Mytilus edulis: one gene and its partner. The protein of the gene in region 1 binds, or shares a complex with, the protein of each later gene. Links are inferred from orthologs where the notes say so. Each region holds a gene or a part of one and is shown in the gene's direction. Other genes may lie near its edges.

Region 1 (9,458 bases):
TGGACCAACTTGAAAACTGGGCCCATAATAAAAAAATCTAAGTACATTTTTGGATTTAGCATATCAAAGAACCCCAAGATTTCAATTTTTGTTAAAATCAGACTAAGTTTAATTTTGGACCCTTTGGACTTTAGTGTAGACCAATTTGAAAACAGGACCAAAAATGAAGAATCTACATACACAGTTAGATTTGGTATATCAAAGAACCCCATTTATTCAATTTTTGATGAAATCAAACAAAGTTTAATTTTGGACCCCGATTTGGACCAACTTGAAAACTGGGCCAATAATCAAGAATCTAAGTACATTTTTAGATTCAGCATATCAAAGAACCTAACTGATTCATTTTTTGTCAAAATCAAACTAAGTTTAATTTTGGACCCTTTGGACCTTAATGTAGACCAATTTGAAAACGGGACCAAAAGTTAAGAATCTACATACACAGTCATGACAGTTAGATTCGGCATATCAAAGAACCCCAATTATTCAATTTTGATGAAATCAAACAAAGTTTAATTTTGGACCCTTTGGGCCCCTTATTATGTTGGGACCACAACTCCCAAAATCAATACCAACCTTCCTTTTATGGTCATAAACCTTGTGTTTAAATTTCATAGATTTCTATTTACTTATACTAACGTTATGGTGCGAAAACCAAGAAAAATGCTTATTTGGGTCCCTTTTTGGCCCTTAATTCCTAAACTGTTTGGACCTAAACTCCCAAAATCAATACCAACCTTCCTTTTGTAGTCATTAACATTGTGTTTAAATTTCATTGATTTCTATTTACTTAATCTAAAGTTATTGTGCGAAAACCAAGAATAATGCTTATTTGGGCCCTTTTTTGGCCCCTAATTCCTAAACTGTTGAAACCAAAACTCCCAAAATCAATCCCAACCTTTCTTTTGTGGTCATAAAGCTTGTGTCAAAATTTCATAGATTTCTATTAACTTAAACTAAAGTTATAGTGCGAAAACCAAGAAAATGCTTATTTGGGCCCTTTTTGGCCCCTAATTCCTAAAATATTGGGACCAAAACTCCCAAAATCAATACCAACCTTCCTTTTGTGGTCATAAACCTTGTGTTAAAATTTCATAGATTTCCATTCACTTTTACTAAAGTTAGAGTGCGAAAACTAAAAGTATTCGGACGACGACGACGACAACGACGACGACGAAGACGACGACGCCAACGTGATAGCAATATACGACGAAAAAATTTTCAAATTTTGCGGTCGTATAAAAACATTTTATACAAATAGTACCCCTGACTGATTAAAACAAGGAATGTCAACATGGCCAAATACATCACAATAACACCTTTGACATGATCATGCTTACCTCCCCTTTTAATCCAAGTTGTATGGCTTTTCTTGGAAGTTTATCATATGTAGGAGAATGATCAGGATCCCATTGTAGTCGTACACTTATCTCGTCGGTTTGTAATTTCTGTTCTCTTTGAAACTATAAAGACAAAAATAAAATATATATACCGATACCGGTACTGCAAATTTTCTTCAATGCCTAGAATTGATTAATTTGGGATGTTGGTATAATTGAAGATTTTTTTTCCTGAACATACTTAATTTTCTACCATCATGACCTTCAAAGCAACAATTTATGTATACATCATTACCTTCAAAGCAACAATATGTGTATACATCATGACCTTCAAAGCAACAAAATATGTATACATCATGACCTTCAAAGCAACAATATGTGTATACATCATAACCTTCAAAGCAACAATATGTGTATACATCATGACCTTCAAAGCAACAAAATGTGTATACATCATGACCTTCAAAGCAACAATATGTGTATACATCATAACCTTCAAAGCAACAATATGTGTATACATCATGACCTTCAAAGCAACAATATGTGTATACATCATGACCTTCAAAGCAACAAAATGTGTATACATCATATACATGCAGTAGCAATATGTTGAATTGTTATAGTGAAGTACACTGTGGATTCTTCCTTATTTTTGAGTGATCTCTCAAAATTTTCAGTTTTTATGTAGCAATACATTGCATTTTGAATAGTCCATGCTTCTCCAATCTGACTTTGTAGGTTTGAACATATCATCATTATGATCATCTGAAATAGTTCAATATCTCTGATATTTATAGATTATCGTTGATCATCTCAACGAGACTGATTTTCTCCCTTGAGCTGGTACAGCGAAAGTGAGAAAAGCAATCCAGTTGAGATGACCAATGATAATCTGTTTATCGCTATTTTACCTATGACGCATCAATTTCATGTCAATTTTGTTAGCAACGCCACATGGCCACCTAAGTTTCCATCTCAAGCGAGAAGCATGATATGAAAATTATCACAAAAAAAAGATCAAAAGAAAAATGAACAAAATAGCGATAAAATAGTATACTGTGGATTCATCAATATTCAGTGGATAGTAACCAATCTTTGTGGATTTCATAGGACATGCAATAACTAAATGCCTACATCTGAACCCTAAATTCAATGAAGTATAAATTTTTCTAAAGGTTAAACATGCAGACTTGTGTAAGACCACAAAATTTAGTATCCCAGAAATACAATTTTCCGTAATCAACACCTCAATATAATATATATAATCAATGAATCTACAGTATATGATTCCAGAGGCTTCATTATCTTTCATGTTGACTGGTACTTTCCACGTTTCTAGGTGGTATTTTTCAATTTATTCCATGAGTATCTTATATAAAAATTCCTACATTTAGGCGGTACTTGTCAATAGCATAGGAGGGTAAAAGTACCGGGTACTGCCTCCTAATGAATGGCCTGTATGAATGACAGTTGCTTAATTATTGCTTTCCTACATCCATTTGAAGGTTGACCTGATCTGTTGTAGATGTCTATTGGATCTTTTGTTAAATTTTGGGTTGCTGTCTCACTGAAATATATACATGTATATACAACATTACATTGACCTATAATGATTTACTTTCATAAATTGTGACTTGGATGGAGAGTTGTCGCATTGGCATTCATACCACATCTTTTAATATCTATTGACTTATTTTAGCATACTTTTACTGTAAAGGCATTGGCCAATATTTTCTCAAATCCATGACGACTAATTCTAACTGCTAAAACTCTTTGTTGGTTGTTCTTGCTTGCCCATCCACAACGATACATCATCCACAGAAAATTAGTTTTTATCCATGACATTCTTTCATAACTGAATTGTTCCCCACCAAATCTACAAACAATTAAATGACATGCATGACATGATCGTGATTATTATTTAATTGTATGGCTGTGTATTTAAACAGTTTCTTAGAAGGCAATCATTTGTCTATTGGAAGGACCAGATGTCAGATGTTATTGTAACTCTATTGGCACAGTAACGAACACAGGGATATACATGATTCACAATAATGTACAACCATTCTTTCAATGATTATACCTCTAAATGATATTTCTAGAAGATAATTTTCAATCTTAAGCTAATAATTGAGTGGCAGGGTTTGCAAAAACTTTTTTCCCCTCCCTGGTGGTCCTTGAAGAAAATATGCTGGTCCTCACTATTATTTCTAATGCAAAATACTAAAATTGTGTCCGTCCTTTGTAAAATTTTGGTGGTCAAATCCTTAGGACCATCACTTTTCACAAACTCTAGAGTGGTATCTGATTTCCTCAATTAAGTAAACTAGATTGTATGACGTCATTCATGTAAGCCTAAGTCATTGTTCTTGCTTGTGAAAATATCAATCAGTGTATCTCCATGTAACCATTTTCAGTTGATATTGTAGCTCAGCCTTCACTGCCAGAAAAACTTGATCTGGTTTGAAGATGAAGAACACCAATAAATGTAATGTTCCTTAAAATTCATAAATTGTTGGGATTAATAAGAATACATGTATCTGTGTATGTTTATGTAGAAATGGTAAAATTAGTAAAATAGAACAAATGTTGATCACTTAAAACATTTGTAAAACAATGTAAAATAATAATATCCACAGAAAAATTCTGAGAAAAAATTCTATAGTAATGTCAAACTCAGACATGTCAAACTTTTTTCACCTCAATGTAGACTAATTTAAAAATGGGGCCCAATATCCAAAATAGTAATACATGTACAAGGTAAAAAAAACAAACAATTAAATATCTTAAATTAATCCCTTGAATTGGTTAAAAGATTTGTATTTATTTTCAATTGAAGATTTCTTGCTAAAGTGTACATGTGTATAAGGCAATACTGTGCAATTGAATATTTCTTGCTATTGCTCAATACTGTGCAGTTGTGCAAAACTGTGCTGTTTCAGAATTGATGATTTCTTACTATTGAGCAATGCTCATGATACTGAGCAATTGAAGATTTCTTGCTATTGCCTAACACTGTGCTATTGATATGGAACCTTGTGGTTCAATTTCAGAGAGATCTACATACACTCACACAAAAGTGATTGTCCAGAAACTACAAACATGCTTGTTTTGGTCCAATTTTTGGTCCCTAATTCCCCAACGGTTATTACTATAACACTGTATAAATACATGTATATCCCAACCTTTTTTATGTGGTATTGAACCTTCTGGTAAAACTTCATAGAGATCCATTCACTTTAAAAACTAAAGTTATTGTCCTGAAACCATTATGCATGTTATATGTTTCGAACGAAAAAAATTTGGGTTGTATTAAAAAGTTCAGCTTCTAGGTGGACTATGAAATCCTATTTACTATCAACACCACAGGCCCAACAGACCAACATGGCTTGAAAAATGTTTTGGGCCTGTTAGAATCAATCTAAAATGTTTGTAAAAATTCAGCTTAAAAATGTAATCTTGAATATAAAAAAGAAGATGTGGTATGATTGCCAATGAGACAAGTCTCCACATGGAGAAATTAACAACTACATGTACATGATGAATAAGGTCACTTTATGGCCTTCAACAATCCTTCACTTAATTTGTGAAAGTGTTACTGCTACAGGCAAGGATATTTCACAAGAATTTACAATCATTCATTACCACTTAAGGCTTCTTTTTCTCATTTTACATAAAATTTACTGATCTTGAAATTTGTTTACCTTTGATTTTGTACTGCATATTTAGCAATAGCTGTATTAAATGCTTGATACACAATAACACTGCGATCATCATACTGTGCTAGGATATGCTTTCCTTCTCTAGGCCATGAATCCCTCTGAAGGATATATTTTGCAATGTCTATACCTTTTGGTACTAAACACTGAGAATAGTTTATGCTGCAGGCCATATCAGATTTTTCAATTTCTGTGTCCTCCGTCTGCTTTTCAAGTGTCATGTCACCGACTCCCTGTGAACTATCCATTGTGAATTAAATCTGTTGAGTTAGTTGTTTTTCCAGAATATATGTTGTTGAAATGACTAATGTCATTGCACAACATTTTTGCTCAACATCAATTTCAAAGTGAAAGTGAAACCGGAAGCGCCGATCAACAACTAGAATAGAGCAATCCACTAAAAAAATAGATCTAAAGTAGTCGTCAAAATATAATCATAAACACTCTTTTTAGGTCGTTATTTCTAACTTCTTATAGTAAAAACAAAATTAATTGCACATGTTTTTACAGATAAAGTAAAAGAATACAATTCACAACATTTACCATTTAGAATAATCCGCAAACAGAAACTCACGAGATCTACTTGTTAGAACGAGATTTGCCTGAAAATGGCTTCTCGTAGCCATGTGGATGTGAACGAAAGGCGACTCAGACCTATTTATGGTCCGTTTATATATTTTATATGCATAAATCGTACTCTTATGAATATACAGACATAGAGAACAATATGAATATAACAAATCCAACCGATTTTTAACATTTCTGTGCAGTAATAACCGTTTTCAGAACACATTTCTGGTTGATAATTTTTGTAAAAATCATAGAAAATGAGATGCCGCCAATGAAAGTATTTATAATCTTATGTGGTTTAGACTTGACATGACAGACATCTTGACCTCTTTAATCTTCAAACATATTTTTTAGGATTTGAATCACATTCCTTCAATGATTGTAGGTAATCATGATAATCATAGACTAGAAAATAATTTTGTATTTCCCAAATTTCACTATAAAATTACAGACCAGAGCTCATATCTAAATTAAAGGCTTACAATCATATACAATTGATTTATATAATTGGTTATTACAACAATATTCATCACAGTGTACATGTTAATATACTCATCAACTGAAAATAAACTCACAGAGCCATGGTCAAAAAAGATAATCAATAGTACACAAGACACAACATAGAAATAATAAAGACTATCAATACAAACCCCACAAAAAACTGGGGGTGATCTCAGGTGCTCCGGTTGGGTAAGCAAATCCTGCTCCACATGTTGCACCCATCGTGTTGCTTATGTTATTACAAATCCGGTAAATAGTCTAATTGGGTAGGTCACATTGGTGAAAAGGGAAGGGGATTGTAGTTACGACATAAGGAACATATTTCATATCACTTGTCAAAGTGATTGATACTGTACAGTACACAATGAATAAATTAATTAGACATTGGATTCATTTATTTTTGTGGATCGAGGAAAACTTGTTCATGAATACTTGATTTCCTGGTTTTGCTAAAATATGCTGCTGCATACAAGCCTATGGAAAATAAGGTTTTTCGTTGAACATTTAATTAGGTGACGGTTCACCTGTTCCCATGAAATCCACGAAAATTGGTATCCAACCAATAATAATGAATCCGTAATACATCTACAAAGTTGTCAAAAACACCAAAACTATACATGCTATAGAATGATAGAATAGGAAACATTGAATAAATACAAAAAAAGATTGATAGTGAGGATAACATATCCTTCATCAGTTTATGATGTAAAATGGAATCTTTTTAATGTATGCTGAATTTCATTAGAAATCTTGAATTAATTCAAATTATAAACTGAACATTACAATTCTAAAAATTAGAAATTCACAGAAATTAAGTAATTTTATAATAGACAATGTTGCATATATATGAATATATCTGGATTTAAACAACACATCTATGTGCTGTGGTCTGCACTGCAAAAAAAAATAATTATAAATTTTTGTGCTTTACTACAACTGACACCAATTTTGAGTCAATTTGATAAATGATTTCTCCAAACAACAACTTATGATCCATGATGTGTTAATTACAGAATAATATTGCAGAAAAAAATTTTGCTCATGAGAATTCTAGATAATAGAATATGGTTTTCTTAATATGATTTTTTGCCCTGCTTTGATGGGTTCATTAAAAGACCTAATTTTACCCTATGAAAGCTTAGTAGTAGAAAAATCTTTATTTACTCAAATTTGTCAGGGATCTCCATGACCTGTTTCTGGTTTCTATTCAGACTCGAAAGATGCATGTTGCAAAGCATCAATTTGCCAGATAAAGTCATTAAAAACCTTTTCATTTGTCAACATTTGCTTTACAAATCTCTTTAACCTTTTACATAACTTGTACGAATCGTTTTCTTGTTGCTGCAAATCAGCCATACCGGTAATGGGTTCTGAATTTGACAGTGTCCATGAAAAATAAGCTCCACATCATATGATTTTTAACCCCCATAACAATTACCAAAAATACAAGAAATCTACATGGGGACCTTCATGACAGCTTTTGGTCATTCTCGACTAAGGGGGGACCATGAAGACTTGGCATTTAAATGGTTAAAAACGGAAATAAATGAAAATATTGATACTTCTAATTCTATAATGGAAATTCAAATAAATATAATTTAAATAAGCAATGAATTAGCATGTTCACCATTCCTTGTATGGAGGGATAAAATACTTCCGATCGCGCTACACTGTACAGCGTAGACACGGTTTGTAATGATGAAAGTTCCTCCATCGTTCAATTTTCATCCATGGAGATCCCTGTTTGTATTGACAAAAATGAGCATGTTTAAACAACAAAATTTAGATATAGGTATATACATAACATACAAACGTTAAATACAATTTATGTTTTCATGGTTTTAGAAAATTAAACACTTTCTTGGAATCTGATGTGCATTGATTTTCCAATCCATTCTACTATTGAGTATTGTTATCCATATACTGTGAAAGTACTTTTATTTCCGTGGTTGACTTTTTTGGAAAGATTAGAACTTGTTCTAAATCTTTACTAAGGCACCAGCCTCCCTAACAACAGGACAGGTTAGCTACTGTTACTAAATGTATTCACACTGAAATATAGTTCCCTATGGTTCTGATATATGTGCACATAATACACATATAAACTGAAAAAAAACTGGGTATATTATTGGAGCAGTTCATTCAAGAATGTATGTCATTAAGGTGTGTTGATGTGCAGGCTTTTAAAAAACATTTTGATTAGGTAACTGGGTATTGATTCAACTAGTATGATTGACAACTGTCATTATCACTAAACAATCAGAGACAAGGTGAACCTTTAATTACAATGCCCCACCTCCTAAACTGCCAATCAAATTGACCACATTACCTATCAACCTCAGTCTTACATAATTATACAGACCACTCAATATAATTCTTAATACACAAGTATTTGACCTCATAATTGAATACACAAATGTGTATATTAGATGTTTGATATTTATAAGCATTAAGGATGATAGATTTATTTATTGCCAATTACTTTTGATCTACATTACATAAAGTGATTCTGTAAATTATATCTGAAAGATAAATGATTAATGGATTAACAAGATCTTAAAAAAATGAAATATGAATATAAATATGAATAAATAAAAGGTATTCAAGTAAGGCCTATAATTTACTTGATAAATTTCCAATAATCATCTGTAATTAATCAACAATTAAATTAGTACACTTTTTTTTATCAGGAATTGGCTTGAAACAGCTTAAAAATTTTAAAACTTTTAATTATAACAAACCATTGTTTATAAGTTTATTTCCCATCAATCATTAGGCAGCAACCATTTGATTTTCGGGGAGTGGGGGGGGGGGGCTATGGTTTTTTTTGGAAAAAAAAGTTTGTTTCCAGTTTTTGGAGAAAAAAATAATTTGTTTTTGATTCTGAGAAAAAAAAATTGTTTGTTTCACCCTCAGCTGCCACTATATGTAATGCTAAAATGCTAAAATTGAAAGAAAAAAATTGTTTTCGATTTGTCGTGAAAAAAATAGATTGTTTATCGCCACAGGCGAAAAAAAAAAATTGTCCAGAAAAAAAAAACCATAGCCCCCCCCAGAAAATCAAATGGTTGCTGCCTTATGTCTATTTTAGTCATTTGAATTTTTATTAGAAGTGAATACATATGTTTGCAATCAAGAAAGAATCCACATTTAATAAGATAAGTTTTTTAATTGGTTACGTTGAAAAAGTACATTTTCAATGCCCTGTGTTGAAAAATACTTTAAAAATTGATCAAAAGGCACTCTAAAACTTTTAATCTTCAATGCCCTATAACCTCTGTTTCAACTTACAAAATGCCCCATAACAACATTTTTCAATTTTGTTTGT
Region 2 (9,595 bases), on another chromosome or scaffold:
GGATGGAACAGCTGACAGAAGAATATTGATCCCTAAGGGAAAAATTACGTATTCCACACGCATTAAGAGACTTTTGGTTACATCTCATTGATTGGTGTATATAATTCCCTATATTTTTTATGGATTGTTTCAAAGTTGCTTAACTCTGAGACTATTAACTATATTATGGCCCAGCTTAATAACTTTTATATTTTTTTTATGAAAAACACTGAATTTCATACACAAGATAGATTTGAATTAAATTGTAACTGATATACATGATATATAAATATTTAGATTGTAGTTTCTCAAAACCTTAGTTAAACTTAAATAACTTTTAATTTGAAATGTTACTTTAATTGTATACTCAGATATGAATTGAATAATATAAAAAGAACATTATTTACATATGACCGTTTATACTATAGTAAAATCCAAACATTGTAGCGCACCGCACGAATGAGCACTTCTCTTTCAAATCTCACCACTTCTCCCTATCATTTTCAAAAAGAGAAGTCACTTCTCCCTATAATTCTGAAGTAGTGTGAGCCCTGTTGTATTGTCAAAAACAGCCCATATTTATGTAGCAGAACCATTCTACTGTCCAATAAATGACTAAAAGTTTACATTTTAACAATTTTGTAAAACCGCCATATTTTGGGGCCAAAAAGGGGTCTTACTGGACCTACTCCTTTCAAGTAAAAATTACTGAAATTAACAGGAATGTAATACCAAAAATATTTCAAATTTCAAAACTTTTTACAATAAGATAGATCTAATATAATTTTATTTAAGTACATAATACCATAATACTAGTTTGATTTTATTTGTACACAATCTTTTCCAGACCAGCTAAAAAGGACTATGAGGAAGACATTTATTTTTGAAACATATGGATTGATTTACCATCTCTAGTTGACTGGTCTGCTCAATATAAAAGTGGAAATTACACACCATGTGACATGTACATATATATACATGGACACTGCAGTGATTGTATACATAATAGAATTTAAACCTAAGAAATCTAAAGTGAATAATAAGAGACAACAGAGGTTGACAGATGTTCAAAACTCGTAAACATATTTTGAATATACAAACATGTGTGCACCACTCTCAATTGAATGAATCACCCAGCTAAAAGGGATAGTGAATTGGACATAATCATGACAATCTAGGTAAATTGACATATCATATGACTTTTAAGACTGTGAAAATTAGCTTTTAATATTTGTGACCTGAGATATGAACAGACAAACTTTTTATTTTCCAACAGTTTGTAATGTTGAAGGCATATACATTAACACTAACAGCCAGAGGATAAACTTGATTGAACGTCACAGGAGTTGGGCTCCATTATCTTCATCGTAAAAATAATGAGATCCAAACAAAATGTAGTGTACATGTATATGCCCTTATTGCACATAATCATTAAAACAAATATTACATACGCAAATGCAGTAAATACATTAGTTCTACAAATCATGTCTATCTAACAAGTCATAGCAAAAGAAAAATACTTTAAACAGTTTATAATCATGATAATTATAAAAGCAATGCAAATAAGAAATAAATTTTTGCCAAAACATTGTTTAATAACGTTTTAAAATCTACATTAATATTACCTGTTTTGTGTGGTAGCTTCAATACATATGGCTTCATATCTGCCAAAACTTTGTCAAACTTCTGGTCCAAAGACACATACACAGGATCTTCAGAAAATGCCATTTTTAACCAAGCTAACCTATTAAAAAGAAAATAATGTTTTAAATCCCACATGGATTATTTTGAAATCATGCATAGTTTAAAATACACCTGATTATGGTATCTTAAGATAGTAATATAATAATATGGGGACGAAGTCCCGAATTACGGTAGAAAAATCAATAAAAAAAAATAAAAAATTTCTACTAATGAAGTCAAAATCGTTAACTTTTTTTTTCAGTTCTACTTCCTGTTCCGGTCTTGTTTGCATGAGACTTTGAATAAAATGTATATTTATCAACATATCAACAAATAGAGCAGTGTTCTGCCCAGGGCCTTTTAGCATCATGGGTATGTGATGCTATAATCTTAAATGTGATGCTATCTGAAATGGTTCTCTTATAGGTAGTGTTATGGATGTGATGCTATAATTTTCAGATACATAATTGTATTTCAACATGTTCAATTTCCCCTGTAACCCAGGATGCTAAATGAAATATCTGGGGAGAGCACTGTATAGCCTAAAGGAAGGAATTCAACACCCAATAATTTTAAATAATTGTTTGATATGAAAAAAATGTTACCTGATAACAACATTCTTTGTTTACATTGAATATGACGTCATAACTTAAACCCCTGACAACAGAACCAGTATCGGAAATGTTACGGTATTTCAGTTTCTTTTATCAACATGCTCGATTTTTTTTTTAAAAGTACAGACTTCATCCCCATTCACCATGTTCACAGGTCATGCCTGCCTCATATCAACTATTATATGAGTAAAGATGTATATTTGGTGTGAGCAAAGGCTCTGTGTTGAAGACCGTACTTTGACCTATAATGCATTATGGATAACTTTTACAAATTGTGACTTGGAGTTATATGGAATGTTGACTCATTGGTCCTCATTCCACATCTTCTTATATTTATGTATATCATTATCTATCGAACTATCAGTAACCAAGCAGAAAGTGACCTACTACAGAAAGATCTCACATCATTAGAGGATTGGGAAGATAAGTGGCAAATGAGCTTCAATGCAAGGCCAAAATAAAAAGATTGTATGTTTGCCCAAACGCGACCGACCCAAAATAAACCCGCCGACTCAAATTCTTTTTTTGACGTTTTTTAGAAGAATTTTTTTTTTTTGCGGATTCTTTTCATGTCCGCTCCGTCATTGTATAAAACTTAATGTTGGTCGTCTTTGCGTTTGAAAGTAACTGTGAATATGATTAAAAGAAAGCGCATAAGAGACGCAGTTAATCGATCTTCGATGTTCTCTGTTTTTATCTTCTGATTTAACGAACGTAAAGAAGTGAAACATGTGAAGTGGCACAGTTTTTTTACGCTGTTGTTGTCTGTACATGTACTAACAAACCCTTACCTATATGCTCAATGTTAATTTCATCGTGTAATCGAATATCTGATAAGAATATTCAGGTAGATTTGTTCAAAACCATGTGCAATCGAATATTTTCAATGTTACTCTGACAGGAAATGGATCCGGAAGTTGCGAATTTACAATCTTGCAAAAAGATTTTGTTTTTACTGAATAAAAAGGAATTACTTCTTGAAAAATTGTTGTCTTAAATTATAATCTTCCGTTATCATGTGAATTAGATGCCCTTTTATTCAAATAGTTCAAATTTACAAGTCTCAGTTGACAGTTGGTTTTTGGTGGGGTTCGTGTTGTTTATTCTTTAGTTTTCTATGTTGTGTCATGTGTACTATTGTTTTTCTGTTTGTCTTTTTCATTTTTAGCCATGGCGTTGTCAGTTTGTTTTAGATTTATGAGTTTGACTGCCCCTTTGGTATCTGTCGTCCCTCTTTTTTTGACAAGATACGTTGCTGTTTGGGAGAATTTGATTAAACTATAATTGCTCACAGAATCAGAAATATAATCTTAACTGAATGTAACTCTTTCTGAATAATTTAGTGCAATGTAAATCCCCTTTGACAAGAAAAATCTGGCTTTTGTCAGAAATATTTTTTTCACATGTGCAAAAGTTACAAACACATGTTATGGTTGGATTTTTATACAAATTTGTGAGGAAGCCTCTAGAACCATGACCTAAAAATAAATAGTCTCCAGAAAACGTTAACTTTATGCAATTATATTTTATCAATAATGATTATTTAAAAAAAAAAAAACTTGATTATTTAAAGAAATAAAATTATAACAAATACGTTTTTGGTTTGGAGATTCTACAGAACATGTTTTGATCTATTTATGGCCAAATTAGTTTACCTGTGTGATAATGTAAAAATATAAATTTGTTGTCAAAACATAAAAAGACAGAAACTATGGATGGTAGATAATAGTTCATATAAAATATTTTAGGACATTTAATCTATTTTAAAAGATATAGGATTTAAAAACTGCAAACAAATTAAATCATTACATAGTCAGCTGATATTTTTTTTTACACAAACATCTTGTTGATGTAACTGTTGAAAATCACTTCATAAATCCACCAGCCCTTTCACACATTTAGCAATTGTCAGGGTTATAAACATCTCAGGATACAAATCATATAGTAGACTAATTTATTTATAGAGGTTTTAAATTCATGGCTTTTGGTTGACTCTACAAAGGTTTAACGGGAAAAAAAGATGTACTGTTTTAAGATCTTTTAATATTTTCATGCAAATTCTGAAAAAAAAAAGAATTTGCCTACCTACCTACCCACACCCAGTCATCTTGGGTCGGGTTTGGGCAAACTGAAATATTTTTAATTGTGGCCCAAAAAACTGCATTGTAATTAGAATACAACCCAAGAACCGTCCTGTAATACCAACTAATTACAAATTACACGGACACACACTGGACACCGTTGAAGCTAGTAAATACCTGGGAGTTACTATCAGCAATAATCTAACCTGGGACAGACACATCGACAACATAGAAGGAAAAGGAAACAAAACATTAGGTTTCATACGACGTAACCTTAAAGATTGCACTAAACCGGTCAAAGCAGCAGCATATTCAACAATAGTAAGACCTTCAATTGAGTATGCTAGCACAGTAATGGGACCCTACGAAACAGGCTAAAATAAAAGCAATAGAGCAGGTACAGAAAAGAGCAGCTAGATTTGTCAACAACAACTACACAGACCGCACACCTGGCTGTGTAACAAAAATAGTAACATCTTTAAAATGGGAAAGCCTTGAAGACCGCAGGAAACAAAATAGGCTATGCATGCTATTCAAAATCCAACATGATCTGATAGACATAGATAGGCACCAATATCTAACGCCAAACGATAGCCGGACCAGAGGTAAAACCCGCTTCTTCCAAGAAAGGGCCACAACAGACGCCTTCGGACAATCATTTTTTCCAAGGACCATTAGAGACTGGAACCAACTGCCAACATCCGCAACATCAGCTGACACAGTTGATGGATTCAGAGCTGCCCTGAAGGCATGCTCTGCTAAAATTTAGACAGTAACATCCTGTACATAGTTTTAATTGTATATATATAGAGAACGTTTTATCCTGTAAATAGCCAAGAGAAAACTTTCTGTGTTGTCCGACATTGCGTTAGTTTTCGCGGGACCTCATACATTCAAGATTTGAATTCGGTTCCTTACCTTGAAGAAGAAGATTATACACAAAAATCTACATTTGTTTAGACAAAAGATGCTAAAATATTTAGCATGTTTAGAAAAATAGAAATTGAAAAAAATGCATTTTACTATCATATTTTTCTTCAATTGACACCTTTCAAATTCCTGTTCATTTCATTTAAAAGATCATGATAAATGTTTTATGTTTGAAATGACATGAATGATGAATGCAAGCAATGGTAATCTTACCTATATATGCAACAATAAATGGTTTAAGTGTGAGATATGCACAACTGTAAATAATATAAACACAAATACTAATCAAATCAAACTCGATAAACGTGATCAGGCATGTTGACTTTGTTGTGATTTTTTAATCAGCTTATTAGTGCAATGTGAAGTAAGATTTATGAATATGCATAAGGTTTACCTAGTGTATGTTAATTATCAAACCTGGTGTTCAATGCAGGACTAGTTACTTATTTCGAAATCATAGCAACGATTTTTTAAAAAGGAGCTTGGTCAGTAACACGACCGGATGTTTGAATTTTCAATTTTAGGCTATGAATAAAGAAATAAGAATTCTAAACACAACAAAAGTTACCTTTGAAATGTAATAAATACTAATTCCTTTTCACAAACAAAATATTAAAATATGAATAATTAAATTACAGCATGATAGATTATATTACATAAGCTTTAATCTAGATACAGGTAATCACAATGGAAATAATAAATCTATCTTTTTATCAAAACTTGCATGAATTAACTTCCGGTTTTATTTTTAGGCCGGTCGGGCACCTGTCCGAGCTCCCTGTCCTTCTTAGGGATGACGACTATTCGTCCGTTTACTTGTGACGACTTATTTAGATTTAATAATGTGTAAGTATAGGCTTTACAATGGTAACCAGTTCTGTCAGTGTCACTTTATCCTTTTTAATGTGTTTGACTTTTTTTTTTATTATTTATCATGTAAATATGATAATTTATCTAAATGTGAAATAAAATATATGATATAAATCTCAAGGGATTGTTTAGAGGATCATACGACATTTAACTGTCAATGGCGTTCTCTATCCTATATATATGACAAAAAAGTTACAGCTAATGGAATCTTGGTCTGTTCGCCCTGGCAGACAAATCTGGGTCCGTTCGTGCCCATTCACGTTCGCACCCACTCATATTCGCCCCCTTTCACTTTCGCACCCTACAGCACCCAAAGTCCGTTCGCGCCCAATTTTAATTTGTTTTGTGTTTAATAACTTTGTAATCAACATGATCAAGTTTTGGCAAGTGTATTCTTGTAAGTATAATTGTTGTCATAGTCTCAAACTGATAAAGTGAAACAGCATTTTTTTTGGTGTTGAATGAATCTTCATCATGTTTTGGATATGTATTGTTAAAAAAAAATAATAATCCTTTCTAAATAAAGTGGGATTCTGTCAACGCTTTATTTTGTGTTGAATAACTGTTAGTTAATCATGTTTTGGTCAGTGTATTTCTATAACTTTGTTGCATTGACTTGTTTCAAAATAAAGTGAGATTCTGTCTGTGTGTTGAAAAATTTTTATCATGTTTTGGTTATAATATTTCTATATTTTGTTGTTTCATTGTTTCAGATCAAAGGGACCAAGCAGTTAAAAACAATTATCTTTTGTGTTATTCATTTAAAATCTTCAATGTTTTACTCATACCAAGCTATAAATACATTCAGTATTTACACCAAAGCAATTTAAAACAAATATCATGATTTTCCAATTATTCAACTGGAATTTGAATTAAAATTGGGCGCGAATGTGTAGAGTGCGAACGGACCTTGGGTGCAACGTGCGAGATGCGAAAGTGTATTGGGCGCGAACGGACCTGATACCCTGGCAGACATGTTTGCCCATTCCATGCATTCACGTTTCCACCTCTAATTTTAGGAGTGTGGTAATTGGAATACTTTCTCATGAAAACAAATAATAAATTTATTGCCAAATGATGTAAACAGTATGTTTTGGTGATAATTAAATGTGCACTTTCTTTTAGATGATAAGAAATCGCTTAATTTTGATAAATCTTGTAAAAAAAATTCCAAAAATAACGGTAGAGATAATTATTTGAGATGAATCACAATTTAATAGGATGTTTTGACAAATCACAGTAAAATTTTAACCAATTTGACGCTAACGATAGGTGAAAATGACTGTTTGCATCTGACGGTAAAGGGAACTACTACAAATGTACCCTCATTCAGTGTACTTGGTGTAGTGATGTAGTAATTTCAGCATCCTTATTTTATAATAGTATGTTGATTATATCTTTTTTCAGTATTTCTACAGCAAACAATTAAAAAATAGAAGGGTTTGCCCAGAAATATTGACCTGTTCTGATTTTTAGGGATTTTTTAGAGACCCCCAAAATGAGGGATATTTTGTAAAGTTTCCTCTGTTTATATTTCTAAGGAATAATAAATATATTTTGTTTTTTGTTTGTTCAGATTGATTAAGTAGGTAGTATTTTTAAATGATACTACACCTGCTAAATGCTTGAAATGTTTTGTTCCATTCGATATTCAACATGTTCAACAAACAGTTCTAATAAAATCGATAATGGATGCTACAAATTAGATTGAAAGGATTAAATTTTGATATTATTTTGCAGGAATTTAGATCCACTGACAGAAACTGTATCCTTCATACCAAGAACAGAATGAAATTGATATGCCTCTTCTGTGTTTTTAAACCCCCAAAAATGTTGTACTAAACATTCTCACACCACATCTTCCTATACAATGTATCTATGTATGCATGTAGCTTCAGAAATAAAGAGAAAATAGGAGCTTTTCTCCTAATTTGAAGAGATTGAAGTTACATATGATTCAATTATGTTGTATTAAAATACAATTATTGATGGACATGAACATTGCCTTGCCTTGGACACAGACCTTGAGGAGAACCATTCAGACCAAAATAAACTGGGACATTTACTGCAATTGCAATATAACTTTCTTTTCAAATTTGAAACAGTATAGTATTGTCTATATGCTTAACTCACAGTATATTTGTACACCAAGGACCTGTATTAAATACTCAATGCCTAGACATACAATAGAGGTTTAGAAAGGTTCTTATTTGGTACATGTAATAAATTGTTCTGACCTACATGTGACTATGATGATTTTGTAGTTTATATACATTTTGTACACTTCAAAATTGTACAAAGAATCTAAAATAACACATCTACAAAACTTTATATTTTTATATAACTAATTAATTGTATCCAGATCTTTATTCGAAAAGGCATTTAGTTGAATATAACCATCATAGTCCTTACATGTAATTGGCACAAATGTACGTATAAGTAAAATTTTACCTTTCTTTTATTCAAGACATACACATATATTTCAAGTTAATGTAATAATGGTCATTACTGTCATGACTGTAAAACAAAAGCTTTTTCCTGTAATTGTAATCAACGCAACAGTAAAAAAAATACTTCTTTGATCACTGACCAGAATGATTGAATGGTAAGGTTATTAAGTAAAGTCCAGATATGGGAACTGAAGTTTATGTTGTCACTGAGTTGTTACTATTTATCTAGATTTGTTTTTATTCCTTGACACTCTCAGTATGGCTTACCATTTTACATGCAGTACCTTGCTCACTGGCCAGAGTACTTCCAAGTTGCTGAATCGCCGGCTGGACAAATTATGGGATATAGTAAGTACATTTTCTCATAATTTGCCCATTGGTAAGAGTATTTCTAATTATCTTACCTCCTATACATTTCCAGGAATATGATTGGTTAAAAGCGTCCGTGTGCAAACCGTGTATATTTGATATTAGGTTAGTAGGGAGGCGGGGTTTATCTCATACACGGTTAGTAGTGGAGTTACGTCCCTTTATATTCCTTATTTGGTAAGAAGGGGGCGGGCCTTATTTAATACACGGTTAGTAATGGTGTTATGTCCCTTTGTAAAAAACAAAACGGTTCTGAGAAAAAATCTTAAAAGTTCCAACAGACGAAGAAATTGATGATTCAGATTGAAACAAATTCATAAAACACATTTAAACCTTACAAGTCGTTATTGTTGGCATCTGTTTTTGTAGGATTAATGGAAGTATTTTCCTAGCGCTAACAGTATTGAAGACTTGCTCGTTTTGAGAATCACTCTTAATTTCACACGTGAAGATAGTCGGTAAGATAAATTCGTTACATAGTGTGCTAGTGACGTAATACGGTATATATGGGGTCAGTAAATTCCATATGGGGATTCGAGCTTCGCTCTCACCCCATATGGAATTTACTGACCCCATATATACCGTATTAGGTCACTAGCACACTATGTAACTAATAGTA

The links.
Region 2: the proteins of N-alpha-acetyltransferase 25, NatB auxiliary subunit-like (region 1) and N-alpha-acetyltransferase 20-like are in contact, whole or in part, in a cryo-EM structure (PDB 7STX), measured with the Homo sapiens proteins. The link is inferred for Mytilus edulis from reciprocal best matches to the Homo sapiens genes NAA25 and NAA20. Residues at the interface, in NP_079229.2 of Homo sapiens: Ser226, Glu227, Ile228, Asn259, Asp261, Asp262, Trp263, Gln264, Arg318, Arg321, Leu325, Lys362, Pro363, Cys364, Thr367, Asp368, Val371, Leu457, Thr459, Glu460, Leu461, Ser504, Ala506, Leu510, Leu532, Asp533, Lys535, His536, Ile537, Gln538; in NP_057184.1 of Homo sapiens: Thr2, Thr3, Leu4, Arg5, Thr8, Cys9, Asp10, Leu12, Phe13, Phe15, Asn16, Asn19, Leu20, Pro22, Leu23, Thr26, Tyr27, Gly28, Ile29, Pro30, Leu33, Gln34, Leu36, Ala37, His38, Pro40, Glu41, Pro49, Glu52, Met54.

The regions. Positions count from the first base shown.
Region 1 is NC_092349.1:22,081,228-22,090,685, forward strand, and holds the start of N-alpha-acetyltransferase 25, NatB auxiliary subunit-like, read left to right. Parts: upstream 1-5,640; 5' UTR 5,641-5,667; coding exon 5,668-5,722; intron 5,723-9,458. Other genes in the region: uncharacterized protein, read right to left, coding at 1,341-1,463, 3,045-3,216, 5,045-5,307. UniProt on the Homo sapiens protein: Non-catalytic subunit of the NatB complex which catalyzes acetylation of the N-terminal methionine residues of peptides beginning with Met-Asp, Met-Glu, Met-Asn and Met-Gln. May play a role in normal cell-cycle progression.
Region 2 is NC_092346.1:35,472,953-35,482,547, forward strand, and holds the start of N-alpha-acetyltransferase 20-like, read left to right. Parts: upstream 1-5,994; 5' UTR 5,995-6,080; coding exon 6,081-6,133; intron 6,134-7,897; coding exon 7,898-7,922; intron 7,923-8,864; coding exon 8,865-8,955; intron 8,956-9,595. Other genes in the region: centrosomal protein of 112 kDa-like, read right to left, coding at 1,605-1,707. UniProt on the Homo sapiens protein: Catalytic subunit of the NatB complex which catalyzes acetylation of the N-terminal methionine residues of peptides beginning with Met-Asp, Met-Glu, Met-Asn and Met-Gln. Proteins with cell cycle functions are overrepresented in the pool of NatB substrates.